2 linked regions of the Sus scrofa genome follow. The protein of the gene in region 2 purifies or fractionates together with the protein of the main gene of each other region. This does not show direct contact. Links are inferred from orthologs where the notes say so. Each region holds a gene or a part of one and is shown on either strand. Other genes may lie near its edges.

The links.
Region 1: the proteins of CHD1L (region 2) and APLF purify together in Homo sapiens (affinity purification with mass spectrometry; 4 studies listed by BioGRID and IntAct, counting the BioPlex papers as one, with this or other methods). This does not show direct contact. The link is inferred for Sus scrofa from reciprocal best matches to the Homo sapiens genes CHD1L and APLF.

The regions. Positions count from the first base shown.
Region 1 is NC_010445.4:73,786,129-73,789,954, forward strand, and holds part of APLF (aprataxin and PNK-like factor), read right to left. Parts: intron 2,476-3,826; coding exon 2,120-2,475; intron 1-2,119. UniProt on the Homo sapiens protein: Histone chaperone involved in single-strand and double-strand DNA break repair.
Region 2 is NC_010446.5:100,295,259-100,299,084, reverse strand, and holds part of CHD1L (chromodomain-helicase-DNA-binding protein 1-like), read left to right. Parts: intron 1-563; coding exon 564-656; intron 657-2,330; coding exon 2,331-2,427; intron 2,428-3,826. UniProt on the Homo sapiens protein: ATP-dependent chromatin remodeler that mediates chromatin-remodeling following DNA damage.

The sequences.
Region 1 (3,826 bases), on a different chromosome or scaffold from region 2:
TGATGACTTGTCCCAGAGAGGTCATGGTATGAGCTAAGACATGGCATTGAGGCTGGAGAAAAGACACATTTAACTGATTGTTATGATGTACATACATAACGAGTACTCAAAATAGGTTATTTTCCCCCTTTGTTACAAATATAAACATTTTGTCTTCAAGATTTAAGATTTCAATGGCAAATGTTTCTCAGGTATTAATTATGCATATGAAAATCAGTGAAAAAGTAAAATAACTATTCATAAGCTATGACTGATTAAAACTAACATGTATCATCATCAAATATGAATGAATTCAGTATAATCTTGATAAAATACTCAATCACATTTAACAAAGACAAATACAAGCCCAACACTGTTAGGGACTGAATTGTGTCATACCTCCCCAACCCTACACATTTATATGCTGAAACCTTAACCCCTAATGTGACTATATTTGGAGACAAGGCCTTTAAAGAGCTAATTCACATTAAATAAGGTCATAAGGGTAGGGCCTTGATCCAACTGACTGATGTCGTTATCAGATGAGAAAGAGACACCCAGGATGTGCATGAACAGAGAAAAGGCCATGTGAGGACATGAGAAGGCACCATCTGCAAGCCCAGGAAAGAGACTGCAGGAGAATCCAAACCGGCCAGCACCTTGATCACGGGCTTCCAGACTCCAGAGCTGTGAGATAATAAATTTCAGCAATTTAAGCCACCCAGTCCATAGTATTTTGTTATGGCAGCCACAGTAAACTAATACAAATATCAAACAGGATTTTTCAGAAATCCAAAATAACAGAAAGTTTATACTTCCATTCCCCAAGTTTATAAATTATGTTCCACATGCAGACCTAAGGCCACAGCAGATAGATAAAACTGTCAATAGATGCATAAATTATAATTGTTGAAATTGAACAATATCGTTACTCAAGTACTAAATGATACTGCATTTTTTTTGGCTGCACTCACAGCATGTGAAAGTTCTCAGGCTAGGGATTGAACCCATGCTGCAGTTGCAACCTGCACCACAATAGCGGCAACACCCAGATCCTTAACCCACTGTGCCACAGGGGAACTTCCTAAATGGCATTGCATTTTAAAGAGAGACATGAATGAAAAATTAAGAGAATATGTGACATAAGCATGCTATTGCATAAAAGACAACCTGTACTAGAATGTATTGATAAGACACTTGGTTTGATGAGCTGTAATGGCACAGAAATAATTCTGAAATACAGCTATGTATTTATCAGCATGTCAGTACAAACATAGAGGAACAAGAGACTACAAATAAGGAATTAGTTTGAATTCACAAAGTATGAAATCAAAAAATATGGTACCAGGTAACTAAATGAAGTATGGGAGTAACCAATCAATTCAAAGAATATATATTCAGTTGTTTTAGAAGGCATCATGGTGATTCAAAAGCACCATTAGAAAAATATGAACAAGGAGTTCCCATCTTGGCACAGTGGAAATGAATCCGACTAGGAACCATGAGGTTGCAGGTTCAATCCCTGGCCTTGCTCAGTGGGTTAAGGATCCGGCAGTGCCATGAGCTGTGGTATAGGTCGCAGATGTGGCTCGGATCTGGCATTGCTGTGGCTCTGGCATAGGCCAGCAGCAATAGCTCTGATTAGACCCCTAGCCTGGGAACTTCCATATGCCGCGGATTCGGCCCTAAAAAGACAAAAGACAAAACAAAACAAAATCCAAAAAAAACCTCACCAGTATAGTAAGATACCTAAACACAACCAATAATTTTCTTGAGAATTATTTTACATACAACTATTTTTGAAGCCCATCTTTCTAACATCTAAATAAGACATTAAATAAGCATGTATTTAAGGTCTGAGTGATTCTGTTTTCAAGTCTGAATCCCCCAGTTCAGATCCTTGCATTAATTAGCATATCCACAAATGAAACTTTTAATTCCTCACTATTATTTTAAAAGCCTCTAGCAGGATTTGCTAGAATGCATATTGAGAAAGTACAAATGAGCAGACACATGATAAAAACTCCTAACCTTTAGCCTATTGGGTTTTATTAGGCCTTTAACACACTATAGCATATATCTGCATAGCTATCTGCTATTGAAATGATGGAATTATATGCTACCCGTAATTTCATTTTACCTGTAGCAGTTTGCCCCATACATGCAAGATGTCCTCTTGAGCTTGTTTTCTTCAGAACCCTGTGGAACTGACCTGGTTGCCTCTGCATGCAAAGTTTCAGGATTGAAAGGATGAGAGCTGGACTCAGGATGAGACCTTTGAGATTCGTCCAGGGAGGATGTGCCTTGGGCACTTGAACAGCTCTCAGCACAGCTCCTCACCTTGTCGACTTTATTTGGTGTTCCCTTAGCAGTGATTTTTTGTTCAGAAACCTCACCAAGTTCCTCTACCGGGGTTTCATTTCTCTGTGTATTAGTTTTCACTTTATTCACTTCTGTATTGTGTAATGTGTTTGTAAAACGTGATTGTGGCATTTCCTATAAGACAAATCAGAAAAATAAAAAGTAAAGCATGTTTCAAAAGAAATAATGTAAATTTAAGCGTAAAAGTGTGAAACTACAACATTCGTGCAATATGTATATTTAAAATTTTTTATCCTTTTTTTTTTTTTTTTGCTTTTTAGAGCTGTACCCGTGGTATATGGAGGTTCCCAGACTAGGGGTCTAATCAGAGCTACAGCTGCCGGCCTGCACCACAGCCACAGCAACTCCAGATCCGAGCCGCATCTGCCACCTACACCACAGCTCACAGCAACACAGATCCTTAACCCACTAAGCAAGGCCAGGGATGGAACCTGCAACCTCATGGTTCCTAGTCAGATTTGTTTCCATTGCATCATGACGGAACTCCTGATTCATATTTTAAAGTTATTAAAATACCATTTTCTATGTCTCTAGTTTGTTAACTTTGAAATAATCTACAAGTATTAGAAAAGGAGTTCACAGTTACATGAAATCTTTACAATTGTGTCAAACATCAGTGAAAAGTAATCAGAAAACTATAAATTTGCTTTCATTTAAATATAACCTTTGCCCCCAAAACCTTAAATGTCTCTTAAATTACCTGTTCAACAATATGTCAAATTCTTATCATGCAGTTTTCTTATAATGTCCTATAAGTTACTTTAACATTTTATTTCTACCCTCTAAATATAATCACGATTTTTTCTTATAGCTGAATGATGAAATTGCTCCTCCCTCACAAAAAATTTGCATGAAGTCTATGTTATGACCAACTTAGAAAATAAATATGATTCCTCTGAAGTAATATGAATAACAGTTTCAGTTTAACCAATTAAAGATATTTTGAGTCAAGTAAATATTTTCACTAGCAAGACAGAACTTTTTTAATGTGTACTTACCACAAGTACAAAGAGTAAGCCTGGTCTTACCCTATTAAAAATGACCTCTTAATTACTTATATTTGATGTGGAGTGGAAACTGCTCAGATAAACCCCAGTCATCTTGGTAACCATTTCCAGGATGTGATGACAACATAATTGATAGACGTGAACATTTACCCCTATGTATAACTATGAACTCATGTATTCTGGCTGTCTTCTGGAAAGAGCTAGTTTTAGTATTATTTAATATCCAACAGTTCAAATTTCTTAAGAAGATACTATCAGCATGACTTCTTTTAGACTAATAACTTAGGCGTTTTGACAGTTTTTTTAAGAAATAGTATGCAACTTTAAAATGTTATCGAAACTGATTTAAAACATTGTGAAAAGAACCTAGGTCTAATCATGGTTCTTGTATAGTATTGATAAGCTATGGGAAAAGCAATCAGCTGGCTGCCTCTTGGTGCTGGCTCTCAGCTGGTGGC
Region 2 (3,826 bases):
TTCTGAATAGTACTCAGGTCAGCTGCAGTGAAACTGTGATAGAGCATCTTTAATAACTCAAGACTTTATCAGTTGTTACATTTGTGAAATTTCCTCCCCTTCACGGTCCTCCTGGTTTGCCTGTAGTTCAGCAAATACATCTAGGCATCCCAGTCATGCTTAGAAGTATTTTAACACACTGCAAAACATTTTTCTTAAGTCATACTCACTGGGAGGAATTGGGACTGGGAAGGCAGAGAGAAGAGTGGAATTTTCTCTCAATTTGCATTTTTTTGTCCCTTGGCTCTATAATAGCAATTAAAGAAGGAAATTTAGAATTCTGCGAAAGATTAACAAAGTATTCCTGAGTTTGATTTATAGTTAGGCATCCTTCTTAAACCAAGGTGATGATGGTTAAGAAAACTTTATGTCAATGTGCTGTTGTTAATGCAATTCAGTTAAATTTGGGAGGTGAACGTAGGTTTGAAAGATATATTATTGAAATGAGTAAGGTTATGTATGGAAACTTACAAAGTTTTTCCTGTTGTTCAGTAGTCCGCCTCTCTCTTTTTTAAAAATTTCAGATGCATTTGAAAATGAGATGGCAAAGAAAGTTAAACTTCAGAATGTCTTGTCCCAACTTCGAAAGTGTGTGGATCACCCATATTTGTTTGATGGTGAGGCAGTGCCCTTTTTTCTCCTATTACTTTTCATTGTCATTTCTGTGGCCAACCTAATAGCAAAATTCTTCAAAAGATTTGCCTTTTTTACTGTCTGTTTCCCCAGATTTTCTCATTAATTTTTTTGTATGAATGTTATCTAATGTTCATATTTCTTCAGTTGTGCCCTTTATGACTTTGTTTTTCTTTTTTCTTTTTATATTCAATATGTAGTTATAGATCCTACACTACATTTATCATGTCTCTTTATTTTCCTATAAATCTGCAAATATTCCTCAGCTTTTTTTTTTTTTTTTTTTTTTTTTTAATTCTGCCTTGTCTTCCATGAAACAGACAGTCTTAAAGAATCAAGGTTGGTTGTTTTATGAGATGTCTCATAATATGGATTTATCTGATCATTTCTTTTTAAGTAGATGTCTCTTTGTCTTGAAACCCACTCATTGAGCCTTTTGTCACTGCCATTCCTAGTTCACCAGTGGTCTCTGCATAGCTCAACTAATGTTTTTCAGTTCATGTTTTAATTTACCTCTCAAAACCTTTGAAGCAAATAATTACCTCTTTTTTTTTTTTTTCTTCAGTTTTTTCTTTTTCACGGCCACACCTGTGGCATCTGGAAGTTTTTGGGCTAGGGGGTGAATCAGCTACAGCTGCCAGCCATAAGCCACAGCCGCATGGGATCTGAGCCACATCTGTGACCTATACTGCAGCTTGCAGCAGTGTTGGATCCTTAACCCAGTGAGCAAGGCCAGGGGTGGAACCCACATCATCATGGAGACTTGAGCTGAGTTCTTAACCCACTGAGCCACAATGGGAACTCCTAATTGATCACTTCTTGACATACTTTCTTCCTTTAGCTTCTGGGACAATACTTTCTTCTTTTCTACCTTCCTTATACCTACTCCTGTCAGCCTCCTTTATTGCTTCCCTTTCATCTTACGGATATCTGTAAATTTCCCACTAAGTGCTACATTAGCTGCATTCTACACATATTGATATGTAGTACTCTCATTCATACTGGGTTTTTAAATTGTTTTTATTCACACTGATTGGTCGCCTATGGGACAGTTCCAGGCTTCTGTGTCTGTGAGAGCTCTAGGATTGGTATCATCAATGTAGAGGGTTTGTTGTAGTCATTTTAAGGAAATCTTTACCAGGCAGCACTATGAGTTGTTTTAAAATATCAGTGAATCTTAATGAGGTGCATATCAGAGCCCCCCCCCCTTTTTTGAAGAAGGGGGTTGTTGTGAACATGTAGATTTTGGAAGAAGCCCTCCAGGTTATTCCCCTACTCCCACTTTGAGAATTACTAGTTTATACATCTAAGCATATTTCTTGATTTGTTTTCTAGGGTGAGCATCTCAAGATTTCAGTTTCTGGTCTCTGGTCCTTAGCATCTCCCTATGCCTCAGTTTCCTAGAGAGTGGGTTTGTTTCTTGGATAAGCATTTGTTAGGCTTTTGGGGTGTGCCGGGCTCTGTGATAGATGTTAGGCAGTGCTGAGATTATCATTGCAAACAGATAATTATGAAGTGCCTTCAAAGAGGCATGAGACTTGGGCCCTTTATCACTTAGAAGCAGCTTGGCCTCTCTGTAGCCCAGCCATCAGCTTCTCTGTTCAGAGTCTACCCTGACTGGGAACATGTTTACTGGGAGTGAGTTCTTCCTTTTCCAGGTGTGGAACCAGAGCCTTTTGAAATTGGAGACCACCTCATTGAGGCCAGTGGGAAACTTCACCTGCTGGACAAGCTGCTGGCGTTCCTGTATTCCAAGTAGGTGGTAGATTTGTATTGAGCTGGTGGCTGTTAAAGCCAGAATAATGAGCAACTTGCCAACTTCTTGAGCCTAATCCCAGTTCTCCTTTTTTCAGGACTCTGATCTTTGTCCTCACTTCTCTGTAACTGTACCCCTACCCCATTCCATTCGATCCCATGCCACCCTCTCTGTAATCATCCTTTCCTGTGCTGAATTCCCCCAGCACTTAGGATCCGTATGCAACACTTGGCAGTGCACTGCCTTAATCTGCTTATCTGCTCGATTGCTGTGTATTAACCATATCACTACAGATGTATTGTTTAGTTCAGCAAAGACATCAATTATTTCTTTTTTAATTGCCTGCTGATAACCTTGTTTTGAATTGGCTCATAGTAGGTGCTTAGTAAATATTCACTTTTGTAACTTGTGGGGATTAGTTTGAATTCCCTGAGACATGATTTGGGCCTCGGAAGACCGAGTCAATTCTGGAGCCTCTAAAGCTTCAGCTGAGTATTCATTGGCCTGGTGTCCAGCCTGTATCAGATCTTCCTGGTCCCCAGAGGGGCAGAGGAGTCTAGAAAAATCCAAGTTTCCGAAGAATCTCAAAGTTGTCCCTTTGGGATAACTGACCGAAGTAGGGCTGAACCAACCTAAAACCTCAGAGTTGACAAAAGCATCCAGCATTAGGCATGTACAAGTAAAATAATTGCATGTCTTACTCTATTTCATTGGTCATGATATATCTGCAATAGGTGTCTTAGTGTAAGAGAAAGACCCATATCTTCTTTCCAACCTTTTCATTTCACAGGTCTTAAAGCAGGCCCAGAGAGATTGTATGATTTGTTTAAGGTCACACAGCCATCAAATGACAAACTTAAAATAATAATAAAATAATATCTGATGTCTGATAACATGAGGCTCTAAGCTTGACTTTGTATGTAATCCATTTTGCCTCCTCCTTTCCTATCTCCTCTCCCTATGTAGGTTTTCTCATGTGGCATATGGCATATGAGGTACCACCTGCCCCTTGCTTCTCTAAAGTGACGCTTCTCAGAATTTTTAACCAATAATGCTGTAGAATGAGAGGATAATGACTTTTACTCCCAAGTATCGAATGTAGCTGTAGATGGCTGATCACCTTTTCAGGGTCTCCAGTTTTGTTTTTTGTTTTTTTGTTTTTCATGCATTTGAATTTTGTATTTTACTCTTTGCATATATTTATTCTTTTTGCTGTTAAAAGCATGTATTTCTTTCCATATAATAATTGACATCTTAGAAAGGGGCACCCTGGTTATCCCAGGGCTTCGTATACCATCTGGTGCACTGACATGTGCTCCTGGGAATACCCCTGCTCTAGTTTGCAAACCACTCTAAGGATATGGCTGTGTGGAGTTACATCCTTATATTCACCATCTA